Sus scrofa: one gene and its partners. Each later gene encodes a partner of the first gene's protein in a complex. Links are inferred from orthologs where the notes say so. Each region holds a gene or a part of one and is shown in the gene's direction. Other genes may lie near its edges.

Evidence for each region.
Region 2: CORO2A (region 1) and HDAC3 share a complex: the UniProt entries of both Homo sapiens proteins name them as parts of the N-Cor repressor complex. The link is inferred for Sus scrofa from reciprocal best matches to the Homo sapiens genes CORO2A and HDAC3.
Region 3: CORO2A (region 1) and GPS2 share a complex: the UniProt entries of both Homo sapiens proteins name them as parts of the N-Cor repressor complex. The link is inferred for Sus scrofa from reciprocal best matches to the Homo sapiens genes CORO2A and GPS2.

What each region holds. Positions count from the first base shown.
Region 1 is NC_010443.5:239,954,789-239,960,041, reverse strand, and holds part of CORO2A (coronin-2A), read left to right. Parts: intron 1-650; coding exon 651-800; intron 801-2,486; coding exon 2,487-2,666; intron 2,667-3,398; coding exon 3,399-3,515; intron 3,516-4,246; coding exon 4,247-4,351; intron 4,352-5,118; coding exon 5,119-5,215; intron 5,216-5,253.
Region 2 is NC_010444.4:143,284,001-143,289,841, reverse strand, and holds the start of HDAC3 (histone deacetylase 3), read left to right. Parts: upstream 1-2,420; 5' UTR 2,421-2,508; coding exon 2,509-2,563; intron 2,564-2,671; coding exon 2,672-2,754; intron 2,755-4,055; coding exon 4,056-4,198; intron 4,199-5,841. Other genes in the region: RELL2 (RELT-like protein 2), read right to left, coding at 267-333, 424-489, 855-1,038. UniProt on the Homo sapiens protein: Histone deacetylase that catalyzes the deacetylation of lysine residues on the N-terminal part of the core histones (H2A, H2B, H3 and H4), and some other non-histone substrates.
Region 3 is NC_010454.4:52,663,645-52,669,467, reverse strand, and holds GPS2 (G protein pathway suppressor 2), read left to right. Parts: upstream 1-1,824; 5' UTR 1,825-1,935; exon of another isoform or gene 1,936-2,044; intron 2,045-2,121; 5' UTR 2,122-2,190; coding exon 2,191-2,284; intron 2,285-2,656; coding exon 2,657-2,766; intron 2,767-2,843; coding exon 2,844-2,956; intron 2,957-3,091; coding exon 3,092-3,171; intron 3,172-3,258; coding exon 3,259-3,341; intron 3,342-3,516; coding exon 3,517-3,670; intron 3,671-3,777; coding exon 3,778-3,867; intron 3,868-3,973; coding exon 3,974-4,053; intron 4,054-4,139; coding exon 4,140-4,235; intron 4,236-4,408; coding exon 4,409-4,492; 3' UTR 4,493-4,599; downstream 4,600-5,823. Other genes in the region: EIF5A (eukaryotic translation initiation factor 5A-1), read right to left, coding at 5,252-5,437, 5,621-5,823. UniProt on the Homo sapiens protein: Key regulator of inflammation, lipid metabolism and mitochondrion homeostasis that acts by inhibiting the activity of the ubiquitin-conjugating enzyme UBE2N/Ubc13, thereby inhibiting 'Lys-63'-linked ubiquitination.

The sequences.
Region 1 (5,253 bases):
TTATTTTCTACCATGTAAGCCCCTTCCATCCTCAACAACCCTACTCTGGAAGGAAGCTGCAGCCCCTCCTACGAGGCCCTCACTGTGAAATATAAGCCTGTGACCCCATCCAACCCTGCCTTCTGGCCTTGAGTCTTTTCTCTTCCAGGACATCCAAAGGGCCCCTATAAACGAAGAGGTTTTCCCTGCCCTGTCTTGCTCCAGAGACAGCTCTGGCTCCCTAATGGCCTGAGGAAATAGCATAAACTCTTCCCCTTGGCATTCGAAGCTATACCCTAAGCCTTTGGGACCAGGATGGGGTAGCCTACTGTACTTTAAGGGATATTCTAGGCTGGGACGCCAATATGCTCTGACATCCAGCCTGGGAATCAGGCCTGTGTCCCATCCATTCACCCACTGCCTCAGGTCATTAGGATTGCAAGGATTATCAGAGGCCTGGGCTCACCTCCAGCCCCTGCTGAGGCTGGAGGACCTTAGCTAAGCCCCTGTCCCTCTGAGGGATCCCAGCTGCCTCTCCACTGAGTGACATGTAGATACAGAGAGTTCTCCTGGCCCTTCTGCTGAGCACTGCCTGTTCTGTAGCTTGGGGTTGTGGGGATACCGAGGTAACCCTGGCTAACACTGCCCTTGGGCTGTGTCTCCCCTGACAGATTAAAATCTGGGACATCCCCAAGCAGCTGATGACAAAGAACCTCACAGCCTGCAAGAAGGAGCTGGTTGGCCACGCCCGCAGAGTGGGCCTGGTGGAGTGGCACCCCACAGCCGCCAACATCCTCTTCAGCTCCGGCTATGACTACAAGGTAGGTCTGTATGTTAGCTTCCTGAGGCTGCCTTGACACAGGACCAAATCAAGTGGGTTAAGACAACAGAAATGTATTCTCAGGAGTTCCTGTAGTGGTGCAATGGAAACGAATCCAACTAGTATCCGTGAGGACTCAGGTTCGATCCTTGGCCTCGCTCAGAAGGTTAAGGATCTGGTGTTGCTGTGAGCTGTGGTGTAGGTCACAGATGAGGCTCGGATCCTACGTTGCTATGGCTGTAGTGTAGGCAGGCAGTTGCAGCTCCGATTAGACCCCTAGCCTGGGAATTTCCATAGGCCACCCATGCCCTAAAAAGAGCAAAACAGACAAACAAATGGATTCTCACACAGTTCTGGAGACCAGAAATCCAAAATCAGGGTGTTAGGAGGGTCATACTTTTTCCAAAGACTCTAGGGCAGAATCCTGTGCTTCTTCTAGCTTCTAGTGGTTCCAAGCATTCTTTGATTTGTAGCTGGACCACTCCAATCCGCTTCTGTCTTCTGCCTTCTCTGTGTATCTGCGTCCTCTCCTCTTCTTATAAGGACCTGAGTCACTGGATTTAGGGTCCACCCAAACCCAGTGTGACCTCATTGTAACTCATTACATCCTCAAAGACCCATTTCCAAATAATATGACATTCTGAGTTCCAGGTAGACATGAGTTTTGGGGGTCACTATTCAATCCATTGTCTTCCTGGAGAGAATGTGAAGCATCACACCTGGAGAAGCCTCCCCCTGCTCCATTGACTGCCAAGCTAACAAGCTGGAAGCCCTGTGGATGGGGAACCTGCCAGCATATGGAATATCTCAAGCTAGGGGTTGAATCAGAGCTGCAGCTCTTGGCCTACACCACAGCCACAGCAATGCAGGGATCAAGCTATGTCTGCAACATACATAAGAGCTCATGGCGACACTGGATCCTTAACCCACTGAGCGGGGGCCAGGGATCGAACCCGCATCTTCATGGATAAGGGTTGGGTTCGTTAACACTGAGCCACAACTGGAACTCCCAAGGAGACCTAGATTCTTTTTTTTTTTTTTTTTTTTTTTTGTCTTTTTGTCTTTTTGTTGTTGTTGTTGTTGTTGCTATTTCTTGGGCCACTCTCTGTAGGGCTTTACAGATGTAGCTCAGGGCCTCAGTGATGGATAAGAGGATGGGATAGGAGTGGCTGAGAGGACCTTTTCCGCTTTCTGATCAGACATGCTTTATTATCTGTTTATGTAGGGTATGCTATTGCCTATAGTTATACAGTGTATTCTGCACACAACTCCAGGGGGCACTATTTACATTATAGACTATGGGAATGGGTTTCCCCAGAGCTGTGCAGCACACAGCCTGTGCAGCTCACCACGGCAGCCCCTTTTACCTGTGTGGTGGAAATGGTTGCTAATGACTGAACCCTCCAGACGAGCCAGTCCCGTTGGGTCCTCCCAGCATGGATGTTTCACTGCTCCAAACAGATGGTGTTTTCTTTTCACGGCCAGATAGCCTGACTCCCAGCCTCCCCCTCCTGCCACATGGCAGCCTTAGCCGGCAGATCCATCCTCCCACCTGAGGCCTCTTGGCCAGACTGCCATCTGTGGCTTCCCTCCTGGGGATACCGCGTTTCACTGCAGCCTGGCTGGTGTGTGAGTCTGGGTGGGGTGGGGTGCCTGCTGTGCTCAGAGCCGGCTCGCTGCCATGTAGGTGATGGTCTGGAACCTGGATACAAAGGAGTCTGTAATCATGAGCCCCGTGAGGACCATTACCTGTCACCAAGACGTGATCCTCTCCATGTCCTTCAACACCAACGGCAGCCTGCTGGCCACTGCCTGTAAAGACCGAAAGATTCGGGTTCTCGACCCCCGAGCAGGGGCTGTGCTCCAGGTCAGTGCTGGGCTGGTGTCTGGCTCGGGGTGGGAGGAGCAAGGAATGGAGTGGGAACGGGGGAGGTTTCTGAGAACAGGGCAGTAATGCCGTCCGTGGTTCTGGTCAAGCCAGATGCGTGATCCCATCTGCTGGGAGGTGTAGACGATGCCATCCCCATTTTTCAGATGAGGCAACTGAAGCCAAAGAGGCTAAGTGACTTGCTGGCCCATATCAGAAGCTGGGACTTGAACCTGGTCTACCTCCAAAGCTTGTCACTATGCCTCGGCTCTGTCAGGAGGCATGGCATGGTGTCAAGAGACCTCAGGGCACCACTGTTTATCCACTATGAGACCTTAGACAAGCACGTACTGCTCTCTGAGCCTCTATTTTCTCATCTGCAGCAATGGACCACTAGTCCTTCCTCTGGGAGGATTAAATGAGATAAGCCAAGTGCCAGGGCCCACCCAGCCCCATGCCTTGCATATAGTGGGTACTCCGTCATAATCTTCTAGAAGAACATGGAGCTGGGCCAGAATTTGCTTCTGTTCTAGCTCAGAAAAAGAACTCTATAAACAAAAATAGTGGGAGAGATTCCCTGCGGATGGGAGAGACCCAAGAAGGCTTCCTGGAGGTGGTATCTCTAGCATGATTCTCCAGGCAGAGCTGGGACGGGAAAGGAAGGAATTCCAGGTGGAGAAGTAGCAGAAGCAAAGGCAGGGACTCCCTGGCTACACATGTCCACCCCTGCAGGAAGCCAGTTACAAGGGGCACCGGGCCAACAAAGTGCTGTTTCTGGGGAACCTGAAGAAGCTGCTGTCCACGGGCACATCCCGATGGAACAACCGGCAGATGGCCCTGTGGGATCAGGTGAGTCTTTTGAGCAACCCCACCAGCGCCCCCTCAGCTGCGCCCTGACGTCATTTGTTCATTCACGCGTGCACTGGCTGATGGGATTGATTGATGAAAACCAGGGAGACGCCGCTAACAGCCTGCTGGTGCCTGCCCAGACCTTGCGCCTCTTGTCATTCAAGGACGGGGAGGGGTCAGGACCCAGGGGAAGCCTCCGTGTGGGGGAGGGGAGCTGGCTGGGTCAGGGACTAGGATTGAGGGGATGGGAGGAGAGGGCCTTCTGAGAGGAGGGAACAGCTGGAGTGATGACTTGGAATGAAATAGGGAGGCGTGTGTGCCTGGTCAAGGCCCTTGGGGCGGTGGGGGCGGGGGGGGGGGGTTGAAGGAGGAGCCAGGCCAAGTAGGATTGTTTTGAAGGAGCCCTTGGCCAGAGTTGGACAAATCACTTCCCCTCTCTCTGAATCTCCTTCTACTATAGTAGATCTAAAGCAGGAGGGCGAGGGCTGGAGTGACATCATGTGTTTGAGAAGTGATTCATTAAAGGCAAAAGGCTGGAAAGAGAAAAGGTGGGGATCTTTCTCTCTCTTTCTCTCTCTCTCTCTCTCACACACACACACACACACACACACACACACATACACGCATGCACATGCACACACAGCCCTGTGGGAGGAAATCTTATCTCAGAGAACACCATCAAGGCCTCTGTGAGGGACCCACGGGCCTTCCTGGTCTCCCTTCCCTTGCAGGACGACCTCTCTGTGCCTCTCACGGAGGAGGACCTGGATGGCTCCTCAGGTGTGCTGTTTCCCTTCTATGACCCGGACACCAACATGCTCTACGTGGTGGGGAAGGTCAGTCTGGCACGGGATGGAGGTGGCTGCCTGGACCCCTGAGGCGGGAGGCAGAACTACCCCAAGCCTAGTCCCTTTGGTGACCAGACAGCAGCCTGGGACCCTTGGGGTGCAGGGCAGGGGCAGGGGCAGGGGCAGGCAAGAGTGGCTGGATACTCTCACCCCTGCTGAGTCCCCACCTTTCTGGCTCCACAGGAACACCTGGGGCCAGGACTTTGGGCAGCCACCCTGAGCTAGACCCTCCCCAGTTCTGGGTCCAGATGAGAAAGGACCAGTTGGTGTTTCTCAGCAGTGGCACCTTCCAATTTGGAGCAGAGTGGGTCTTCATTGAGTAGGACTCTCCTGTATTTGGCATCCCTGGCCCCCATCCACCAATGCCAGGAGCCATGCCCACCCACCTCTGCCCAGTCATTATGACAGTAACAACCAGAACTGCCCCAGGGGTAAGACCCCCTGGACAGTCTCAGGACACCCCACTTCTGACCTTTGGGTGTGATTCAGATGGGAGTAGGGCTCAGGCCTGTGCTCCCAGAGCCTCTGCCTTGGAGGCACATGGGTGGGCTTCGGGTCTTGGTTGAGAGGATTGAGTGTTAAAATTAGGAACCCCCCCTCCACTGCCTTAGTGGCAGTTCTTTGGTGTGCCCTTGTGTGAGGTGGCTTTGCCAACTCTTGACTCAGAGTGAATGCCAGGTTTCTACTACATGGCAATGGGGGCCAGTAGGGGGGCTGATGGGACCCAGCTCTGAATTGTACCTTCCTCTCCTCAGGGAGATGGAAACATCCGCTATTATGAGGTGAGCGCTGACAAACCGCACCTGAACTACCTGACCGAATACCGCTCCTATAACCCACAGAAGGGGATAGGTGAGTGTGGGACACCAAGGCCACTGGGGGCCTCGGTA
Region 2 (5,841 bases), on another chromosome or scaffold:
TGCCTCCCAGGGCCGTTGGCTCAAGAGCAGGCGCTGCTTGACCCAGAGGAGTGGCATAAGGGGGGGAACGTTAGGCTTGATGAGAGCCAGGAGAGAGAGCCACGTGGTTTGAAGGACTCAGCCTTTCTACAAAACTTCCTTCTTCCTGTATGTGAGCCAGCCTTGCTCCCCCCACACCCCAAACATGCAAAGAGACTGGGAGAGGAATGTGCTGGCGGAGAGGGTGCTCTCCAGCTACATCGTGCTGGCCCTCATTTCCAGCTCACCTGGACAGCTGCACTGTCCCTTCTCCTTCACTGTCCCCCAGCATCTCCTTTAAGGCCTCAGCATTGGCTGAGGGGAGAAGGAAAAGAGGGGGTGAGTGGAGGCAAAGGCCAGGGCAAGAGACAGTCAGGGTGGGGCACGGGGCCAGCCCACACCCACCTTCATTTTGGATGATGCAGCGAACAATCCTCTCCACTGTGTCCTCATTCATGTCATCGTCCTCAGCTGAAGGATGAAGGCGGTTGGCAGGGAAGTGACAAATGAGTCAGCTTTGGGGGTATATTACCTGGTGGCTTCTGTGGCTTGTTACTCAAGACCTACCCCTTTGCCAATGTGCCATCAGGCTGTAGGTTAGCATTTCAAGGGCCAGGGCAGAAAAGATGGAGAAATCAATGCGAATCCAAGACTACCATCGTGGGCTGGTCCCACCCCGCGCTCTGCTTCTCTAGCCTTGCTTTTAGGGCCGTGGACTCAAGAAAATGTTACTAGGCCTCTTGAAAGTTTGGGTGGGATGTGGCCTGGGTTAAGAGGTGTGGGGAGAAGGGTGAGAGAGAAAAGGGACTGAGCCAGGGTCTAGGCTGTTCACTCACGGGGCTGCAACTGGGTGTCGTCAGGCTCCGAGCCCCTCGAGGTGCGGCAGCGGTAGCCCTTCTTCTTGAGCACGTGGCAGATCATGAAGCCTACGAGGCCCATGAGAAAGAAGACCAGCACAAGCAGGAAGAGCATGTACAGCCCATGTTGGGGCGGCTCCAGGTCAGGCTGTGGTTCCGACATGAGGCCCTGGGGGGCGAGCGCGGGCCAGGGCGCCTCCTGGGGCTAGGGGGCTGCAGCTAGGGGTTGGGGGGAGGGATAGGAATGCCATCTTCAGGATCCGTGACAGCCAAGCTTCTGCGGTCTGGCCCCACCCTCTGCCCAACCAGGGAGCTGTCCGGGCCAGGGGTGCTGGTCCAGGCCAGGGAGGGGTGCCAGATGGAGGCTGCGCAAACCCTCTTCCACTATCCTGGTCCCGCTTTCCCGACGCCCAGAGCGTTCCCCTTTCCATCTTGTCCTGCGCTTCCGTCCCTCCCAAGGACACTGCAGAGCGAGATGGGACGGAATTCTCAGGCGGCCGGCGCAGGGATCCCTGCCTGAGTCAGCGTCCACACCTCTGCGCCGGCCTGAGCCAGGCCTCCGCAGCTCACTCCCCTGACTGTACTATCGCACACACACCCCCTCCCGCCTTTCGGTTCTCCCCATCCTGACCACCTGGCCCACCCGGTACCGGTGATTTGGTTCTGGCTCCGGCTCCGGCTCGGGTTCCGGCTCCAGGGGCGTCCTAGTCCGGCTCGGGGCCCCCGACGCCCTCCCGGCGCTCATCCCTTGCTTCCTTCCCCTCCCCCCTTCGCCGCTTCAAGGGCTCCGGGCTGCGGCTGCAGATACCGGTGCCGCGGCAGGCGGGGGGAGGGAAGGATGGAGAGGGATGCGGGCTGGTCGGGACCGGCGACAGGCTCCGGACTATACCAGCGCTGGGAAGGGAATGAGATGGGGGGCGCCGCCGCAGCAGCCTTGGGTTCCCAAGCCTTCGACCGTCGCCCGCCCGGGACCAGGGGGCGGAGCACAGGTGTGCGGGGCGGAGAGCGAGAGCCTTGCGCGCTTGTGAGCGCAAGTGTGGTGCGCGCGTGACTGCGCTGCCCCCCTTCTCCTCCGGGGGGGTGTGCGGCGCCGAGTCTGGGTCCGGGTGAAGAGGACAGTCAGTCAAGCGAGGGTGCTCTCCACTGGTCAACCGGGCACGCCTGGCTTGGCTCCTGCCCTCGGATGCCCCGGCCGGCTTGGGTAGCCAAGAATCTTCCCAGCGGGCCGCGGGAAGCTGGCTTTCCGCATGGGAGAGGGACAGCACGGCCGGTTATCAGGAGCCTCCTAGAGAGGTGACACGGCTTGCACCCGGTTTGGGACAGGTGGCTGGACAGAATGGTTCGGCTTCCCGAGGATTTGACCCCCGCCCGGAAGAAAATGGCCTTCGCATCCTAGGACCAATGCGCGGTCCTCCGGCCAAGTCCAGACACTCAACACCCCATAACCTAGAACCGCCAAGCAGAGAGGGCGGAACTCCGCAGGGGGCGTGGCCTGGGCGTGGCCTACGGGAGGCGGGCTTGGGCCTCCGGGTTCCGCAGAGACTGGCTGCGTGCTTACGCAGCACGCACGACCGGGGGTGGGGCTGGCGGCCAGGCTGGCGGCGGAGGCGCGGGGCCTGGTCCCGCTGGCACCATGGCCAAGACTGTGGCCTATTTCTACGACCCCGACGTGGGCAACTTCCACTACGGTGAGGGAACAAGGTTGTATGCGAGGGGTTTCGGAACGCGGAGGTTTCCAGGGCGGGGCTACAGCTCCAGGGATGGGAACTGACCCACTCTCTTTTCCCACCCCCCAGGGGCTGGGCACCCTATGAAGCCCCATCGCTTGGCCTTGACCCATAGTCTGGTCCTGCACTACGGTCTTTATAAGAAGATGATCGTGAGTCTCGCGGCTTCTGCTGGGGATGGAGGGTGGGGGCGAGCTGCGGCCCTAGGGATAGGTAGGCTGGCTGCCCTGAACGCCCCAAGAGCGACCCACCTCCAGCGTGGGGAGGGCGGGATAGAAGGAACCAGGAGGACCCCCGTATGCAGAGTATTGGTGGGTGCATCCATGAGCTTAATGGGAGTTCCTTTTTCACTTTAGGTCGGCCAGCCTTTGACCTCAAGTAGACAGGTCATGGCCTAGAGTTGGGGTGGAGTGGGGCTGGTTTGAATACAGAAAGTGTTTCCCTCGCCAGCATCTTAGAGCAGTTTTGTGGCCTCAGCAAAGGGAAAGGGGCTGGATCACTGTATCTGAATATGAGATTTACCCCCACTGGCACCCCTTTTCCTCTGCCACACCTCTCTCCACCTCCAAGGGGCTAGAGGACTCTGCAGCCTGTGTGTAAGTGTGTATGTGTGTGGGGGGGACCGTAGGAGATGTCCTGGGTATTCTCTTTTCAACCTGGAATCCCCCCCCCCCAGTTCTACTAATCACTACCCATCCCTCCATCGCCAGGATATGCACATGCTCTCTGTCCCCAGCTTGGAAGTTATAGATGTGATATGTGATTATAACATGTCGCCTTGGCTCTTATGCCATTGCAAGGGGAATTAGTCAACAGTATGAATGGGTGCCCACCAGGCTGAGGCACTGACAAGTGATTTGGCCGTAGAGGAGGCCGAGGTGATGTTGGTGCGTGAATCTCAGACTCACTTGAAACTGTTTGCCAGTTTGTGCCCTTTTCTGGGAGAGAAAAACATTTTGTTTGGTTTCTAAAGAAGCGTGTGAGTCCCTCAAAAGATGGTAAATCTCTGGCTTAGCACCTGGGCATCTGTTTTTAGTTAGAGGGTTGTTATATGTTCCATATTATTTGACTCCAAAATTAAGAACTCAGAGGAGAGAGAGGACAGAATCAGAGCTCTGGGGGGATGACTATGAAGAGAATCAGGAGTAAGAGATCCAGGGATCAGGGCAGGTTGAACGGGGTTACGGTTCGAGAAGGTAGGAAAGGCTGGGCTGGAGGTTGGAGGGAAAAGGCGAGCCGCATGGTCTTTAGGGGGCTTGATCATTATAAACGACCGGGCTAATCAGTCTTTCTTCCTCATCGAACTTTGTCTCATAGAATAACAAGGATTCAGGGGCAAGGGGACTGCTGTGTGTGGTTTTGGATGGTCCCCAGGGCTGGGTTCGGGGTGGGGGTCTCAGCCCAACCAGTGGGACTGACCCTGCCCGGGTTCTCCTTGTGTTTCCATCCCGAGGTCTTCAAGCCGTACCAGGCCTCCCAGCATGACATGTGCCGCTTCCACTCTGAGGACTACATTGACTTCCTGCAGAGAGTCAGTCCCACCAACATGCAAGGCTTCACCAAGAGCCTGAATGCCTTCAACGTGGGCGATGACTGGTGAGGGGGGACTGGGACCTTTGGTGCCAGGCATTTCAGCGAGAATACTCGAGTGGGGCCTTGTGGCTGCAGTGGGAAGATGTGAACGCGCCAGGGGAGAGGATACTTGTCAGTGAATTGTCGTTTACTCATTTGTTTATTCAACAAATATTTATTGGTCATTCGCCCTGGGCCAGGCCCGGTGCTAAGTGCTGGGGATGCAGTGGTAAACAGCAACGGCAACACAGTTTCAGTATTGCATTTGTGCCGAGTCCTCCGAAGGAGAGGTACCCGACAGGCTATGAGGGTTTAAACACGGGAGAACCATCTAGCCTGGGCGTGGGCTGGAGGCTTCCTAGAAAAAGTCATAAAGGTTGAGCTGAGATCGGAAGGAAGCAGGAGGTAATTAAGTGAACGGTTGCTGGGAGGATGGAGGGTAAGGGGAGGAAGGTCGAGGGCAGTCGGGACAATGTGCGAAGGGCCTGGGGTATGACAGAGTGTGACTCATTTGAGGAACAGAAAAAAAGCCACCCGCAAAATCCGAAGAGCGATCTGAATTGAGGCTGAAGAGAGAGGCAGGGCCTGTAACAAATAAACGGCCTTGGAGTTCCTGCTGTGGTCCAGTGGGGTAAAGATCCAGCGTTGCTGCAGCAGTGGCACAGGTTGCAGCTGTGGCTTGGATTTGATCCCTGGCCCAGGAACTTCCACATGCTGCAGGTGCAGCCAAAGTAAATAAATAAATAAATGGCCCGACTGTGACTTGGGGTTTTTATGTCTAGAGTAGAGGGAGGTCATCAAAGTGCTTTAAGAAGCAGGAGCATGATTGGACAGGACCTTCTGTCATATGGTTTACGTTGGGCTTAGATCATACGAAGTAGACTCAGAGGTGGGCCCTGTGGGAAGAGAGCGGATAACGAAGAGAAGTCTTCCTCCTTGCTTATGTTCTCGCCTTCATCCACGAAAATACACTGACCACAATAGCTACCACTGACTCAGTCCATTTTTAAACTTATTAGGGAAAACATTGCTGAAAGTAGAAGGTACAGTGTCCCCCCACATACCCGTCACCCAGCCGTGACACTCACACCAAGTGCTAATCTTACGTCATCTATATCCTCTCACCTTAGATTCTTTTGAAGCAGATCCCAGATGTTACAGCCTTTTATCTATAAGTACACTCTTTTTCTTTCCTTTTGTTTTGAGGGCTGCTCCCTCGGCACATAGAGGTTCCCAGGCTGGGGGGTCAAATCGGAGCTACAGCTGCCGACCTATTACCACAACCACAGCAACGCAGGATCCAAGACGCATCTGCGACCTACACCACCGCTCATGGCAACACGGGATCCTTAACCCACTGAGCGAGGCCAGGGATCGAACCTGCAACCTCATGGTTACTAGTTGGGTTGTTACCACTGAGCCACAACGGGAACTCCAACTCTATATTTTCAAATGATACTCTTTTTAAAAATGCACACACTCCTGAAAAGTTAACAGTAAGTCCTTAGTATCATCATATATGCAATCAGTATTTAAATCTCTCCAATTGTCTGGTAACTTTTTTTTTTTCTTTTCTGCAGTTGATATATTTAAATTAGGATTTAAACAAGGTCCACATGTGTGTTTGATTGCTGTGTCTTAAGGCTTTTAACCTGTAATGTTTCCTT
Region 3 (5,823 bases), on another chromosome or scaffold:
TCCTGAGCTGCCGGCCCTTGAAGGGAGAGCCTGGGGGAGGCTTTGAGGAGCCTGGTGAGAACTGCGCGCCTCCCCGAGAGGAGCAGCCCCCTCCAGTGCTGCTTTCCCCCTCCCTCCAATATGCCGGGGCCGAGACCCTGGCATCCAAAGTGCAGTGAGTACCTGGGAGGGGCCCAGGGCTGCTCAGATCTGGTGTTACCCTCCTTCCCAGCCCATCTCCACCCAGCCCTCACACAGTCTTTGAACAAAGACCTCTTACTTGGTCCTATCACACAGAACAAAAAAGGGAACCCTAGCCACGTGGAACTTCTGCCCTCTCTTGCTCTGGAGTGTTTGTGCCTAATGAGTGTTTAGTAGTTAGTATCTTTGAAGGTGACATGTAAATACTATGGAAACAAAATGTAGAGTGGAGTGAGGTGGATCAGAAGCGTGGCAGGACCCGGCCTATGAAATAGGGTAGTGGCGGCAGACGTCATTAAGAAGGTGGGATTTGGAGTTCCCGTCGTGACTCAGTGGTTAATGAATCCGACTAGGAACCGTGAGGTTTCGGGTTCCATCCCTGGCCTTGCTCAGTGGGTTAAGGATCCGGCGTTGCCGTGAGCTGTGGTGTAGGTTGCAGATGTGGCTCGGATCCCACTTGCTGTGGCTCTGGCGTAGGCCGGTGGCTACAGCTCTAATTAGACCCCTAGCCTGGGAATCTCCTTATGCCATGGGAACGGGCCTAAAAAAAGAAGAAGGTGGGATTTGAGCAAAGGCCTGGAGAGGGGAGGGGAGGGAGCGAGGGGAGCGGGCATGGGAGGAAGACCCTTGGGAGGAAAGGGCGGAGCCAAGTCCCAGTAAGGAGGGGCTGATGCCTGGCAACAGCAAGGCCAGCTGCTCAGGCTCGCGGTCACCGTCAGGGCGGTGGTTGCAGCCAGCAAGAGCGAGGGGTACTGGGAGCAGAGGCCTCACTGTCCCGTTTCTGCTTCTTGCCTGCCAGATTCCGGGACCCCAAATCCCAGCGGACGCACCAGGCCCAGGTGGCGTTCCAGGTGTGCGTGCGCCCTGGCTCCTACACCCCCGGGCCCCCTTCTGCTGCCCTCAGAGAGCCTCCCGACCCTCACTTCAGCCCAGCTGAACTCGAGTGGGTGACCAAGGAGAAGGGGGCCACGCTCCTCTATGCCCTGCTGGTACGGGTGGAATGAGGGGTGACACCGCACTACGACAAGCACAGCAGGGCCTTGGGCCCGTGGACTCTGAGTGACGACTGCCTCCACCTCATTCCAGTGACGCGCGGCATGCACGGTGCTCAGCCTGGCAGATGCACAGGAGCATGTAGGCGGGCTCGCAGAGGAGCGCCCGGGGCCGGGACTGGACAGCCCCTCGAGGCGAGGGCGGCGAGGGGTCCGGCCGCCGGCCCTGGGGAACCCTCTCCATGCACTGATCTGGGGAGCGCGCCTCCCCGCCACTCCTCCCCCTACACTTAATTTATTTCCGTTTCTGTTCCTGGTTACTGTGAAGGCCAGAGGCGCCTCCCCGCGCCCCACACGAAGCTGCTTTTCCGGGCCGGGCGGGAGTGGGGAAGGCGGGCGCGGGTCGGGGCCTCTGTACAGTTGTTACTGACTCTGATTTCTAAGGAGCCAATAAACGCCGTCTCAGAGCAGCCGCCTTGGCCTCTCGCGCGCGCGCCTCTCGGTCCCCCCCGCCCCGACCCGGGAGGAGACCCGGCCCCGCCACGTCAGGGGCTCCGCCCTCGGGGTCGACGCCGGGCGGGGCGCAGCGGAGGCGTTTGGACGCCGCGGGCACCCGTCGCCCGCGCTTCCGCCTTCCCGCCCCGCCCCGCCGGCCCGCGAGCGCCGCGACAGCCTCGACTCCGGAAGGATTCGGCCCAGCGGCCGGATGTGACGCCACGGCCCAGGCGCTCGGGAGGCCGCGGAGAAAGCGACGAGAAGACGGGTAGGGAGGGGCCGGCGCCCGGGTAGCGGGCAGGGAGCGGGAGCGCCGAGGCCGAGACCCCCGCCCGCGCTCGCGGAGGAGCCGCGCTGTTAGGCCGGCCCGGCGGCAGGCACGTGACCGGGGCGGCGGGCGAGTGGCTTCCGCCCCGGCCTGGTCCGCTCCCTCTGAGCGCCCGCCTCCCCGCAGGCCCGGTCTGAGGTCTGGCAGCCAGTGACAGAGCCGGGCGTCCACGGCCCGAGCGCCCCCAGCAGCACCATGCCTGCGCTCCTGGAGCGCCCCAAGCTTTCCAACGCCATGGCCAGGGCGTTGCACCGGCACATCATGATGGAGCGGGAGCGCAAGCGGCAGGGTGAGCTGGGGCCAGAGCGGGAGGACGCACGGCCCGGGGCGCGCTGCTCTCCCGGGGCTGACCCCGACCTACGGGCAGACCCTGCGCGGCGGCCACAGCTAGAGGAGGGACCGATAGCCCCGACGTGGCGGGAGTCTGAGGCCAGATCTAAACTCCAGAACCGTGAGCTGGCAAGGACCTTGGAGAGCACCTAACAAACTTCCCTGTCCCCAGTGTCCTCTTGCAGTGGTGGGCAAACCTGTTTCTTTTAGAGGGAAAGAGTTCGTACCAAGTGTAGTGGGATACCAGTTTTTGCTGGCTTTCAATCGCTAACATTCTAATCTTTTAACCACTCTGCCACTTCCCCATTCTGCCTGACTCTGACTCTTCCAGAGGAAGAAGAGGTGGACAAGATGATGGAACAAAAGATGAAGGAAGAGCAGGAGAGAAGGAAAAAAAAGGAAATGGAAGAGAGAATGTCACTAGAGGAGACCAAGGAACAAGTAAGCAGTCCCTTGATCTCTCCCCAGCCCTTTCTGCCCTTGGCTCTCTTGCTTTCATCCCTCTCCTTCCTTCCCAGATCCTGAAGTTGCAGGAGAAGCTTTCGGCCCTCCAGGAAGAGAAGCACCAGCTTTTCCTGCAGCTCAAGAAAGTTTTACATGAGGAAGAAAAACGGAGGCGGAAGGAGCAGAGGTGAGATTGGGCAGCTAAAAATAAAATTGGGGCCCAAAGTCTAACTGGGATCAGGTAACAAGAGATCAAGTTTTTTGCGGGAGCGGAGAGGGGAAAAGGCTTGCCTTTGATCTGATGTGCCTGCCTCTTGTTCAGTGACCTGACCACTCTGACATCGGCAGCATACCAGCAAGGCCTGACTGTTCACACAGGAACTCACCTCCTCAGCATGCAGGGTGAGGATTAAAGAAACCACTTGTCAGATGGGCCTTCCTGGGGGTTGCAGCCTCTTCTTGCAGCATCACAAGCCCGTCTCCCTCTAGGGAGCCCCGGAGGACACAATCGGCCAGGCACCCTCATGGCAGCTGACAGAGCCAAACAGATGTTCGGCCCCCAAGTGCTTACAGTAAGAGCAGGAGGACTGGGTATCTAGGCTGTCATTTACTCCCGCTACTTCCAGCCGGCCTCGCATCCTTACCCAACCAGCATTCAAGTCATGAGTGTGTTGGGGAAATGGGGCTTTCAGTCACTCAAGTTTTTGCTTCATGGAGTTTACAGTGGTTCTCGTCCTCCCTCCTTAGAACCGACACTACGTGGGCTCAGCAGCTGCTTTCGCAGGGACCCCGGAGCATGGGCAGTTCCAAGGCAGCCCCGGCGGCGCCTATGGGACTGCTCAGCCCCCACCTCACTATGGACCCACCCAGCCTGCCTATAGTCCTAGTCAGCAGCTCAGAGGTGAGCCTTGGGCAAAGGGGAGGAGGGGCATTCCTCAAGGCTCTAAGGGAGGAGTGTTGTGAACAGGCTACCAGGAGGTCCTAATGGCTGTCTCCTGCCTTCCTCAGCACCTTCGGCATTTCCTGCAGTGCAGTACCTGTCTCAGCCACAGCCACAGCCCTATGCTGTGCACAGCCACTTTCAGCCCACCCAGACAGGTGATGGTAGACAGACACCACGCAGGGGCCCAGTTCCAGCGGTCCTCCTCCCTTCCTCTTCGCCTCCTTTCTCTACTCACCTCACACACCCTTCCTCCCCACCTAGGCTTCCTCCAGCCCGGTGGCGCCCTGTCCTTACAAAAGCAGATGGAACACGCTAACCAACAAACTGGCTTCTCTGACTCAGTGAGTAAAATCTTGGGAAGTCAGGGGAAGGGCTGCCCACACTAAGGGGAGCCCCAGGCTGCCTCAGCTGACTTTGTTCTCTGCAGTCCTCCCTACGCCCCATGCATCCCCAAGCTCTGCATCCAGCCCCTGGACTGCTTGCCTCACCCCAGCTCCCTGTGCAGATGCAACCAGCAGGAAAGGTAAGCCCACCAGAATGCCTACATCACCAAGTTGAAAAAAGGACTGGGTAGGACAGGTGGTCCCTGCCCCCCTTTTTCCCTCCTCCTCTGCCATGGCTGTCAGTCCCCTGCGGGAGTAGAAGGAAGGGGAAGGGCGCGCACTGACAAAGCCCTCCTCTCATTACTGCTGCCAGTCGGGCTTTGCAACCACCAGCCAGCCTGGCCCTCGGCTCCCCTTCATCCAGCACAGCCAGAACCCGCGATTCTACCACAAGTGACCATCAGAGTCTATCAACCTCGCTCCCAGCCCCTGCCCCCTACTGTGGGGGAGGATCCCTGGTGTGCCTCAGTCCCAGGCCAATAAAATCTACCTGCCACTGCCCCCGATGCTGCTACTGTCTGTGTTACCTCCCACTGGGCTGCCTGGGGTGGGGGTGGGGGTGGGAGTGGGCGGCAGGTCCGCAGGACGCAGGAATCACAGTGGGACAGCAGATTACCAATCACTTTCTCATTTCCACATTGACTTCCCGGTCAGCAAATACCATTTAATTCAAAGAAGCAGCTGAGTTGGGGGCTTCATATTAAACTTGTAGTTTTATTCAGGTTTGATTTTTAACAAATGTGTCGGGGAGAGAGCCCGCAGGAAAGGGTGAAGCCCATGGGGGGCAGGGCCCTCCCAGATGCCTGAGGAGGGGGCAGGTCCCCTCCCCTCTCCTCCTCTTCCCTCCCATCTAAAGGGACTTGGGGAGAGACATCAGCAGGGGAGGGGGCTGGTCCCCAGTCTGTTGGGGTGGTGCTTGGGATAAAGGGCTATGGGGGAGTAAGGGACCAGACCAGGGACGAGTGTGGGAAGGGCACAAGGACCATTTGCCAGAATCCACAGCTTTCTGATTCCAGGTTGAATTAAAAAAAAAAAAAAAAAAAAAAAAAGGAAGAAAGAAAAACTAAACCACAAGCAGCACCCACCCCCTCTCCCCCACCAGGGCTGTAGTGTGAGGGGAGAGGAGGAGGGCAGCTTCGCCAAGGCCATGGTTCGCTCACTCCTGGCCAAGGGAGCAGGGTGAAGGGCAGGGGCTCCCCGACAGATTGAGGGGGTAGGGAAACCAAAATAAAACGTCAAATAAGTCATGTAGGAGTCCAGCCAAGGGCCAAGCCAGAGCTGGGCCAGGCTGGGGGAAAGGGCCTCTGCAGGCTGAAGGATCACTGCTGCCACCACAGCCACCCTGAGTAGGAGAGAGAAACCAGGTGAGACAGGGCAAAACCTTCAAGGAGAAAAAGGGCAAGAGGGACAGGGCCATGCTGGGGGCAGAAAATAAGCCTTGAACCACCATGACCATGCTGAAAGCATCGCTTTGATGGAAATGACAAAGCGTGTGAAGGGGGCTTTGGGGCGGGGTCATGCTCACCTGGGAGCCAGTTATTTTGCCATGGCCTTGATTGCAACAGCTGCCTCCTCTGTCATGGCAGACAGCACCGTGATCTGAGGGAGCAGGGGGGACGGTCACAAGTCTGAGCTTGGGAAGCAGCACGGAGGAACAGAGCTGGGCACAAAACAAAGGGGGGCACCATACCAGGATCTCTTCTCCACAGTCGTACTTCTGCTCAATCT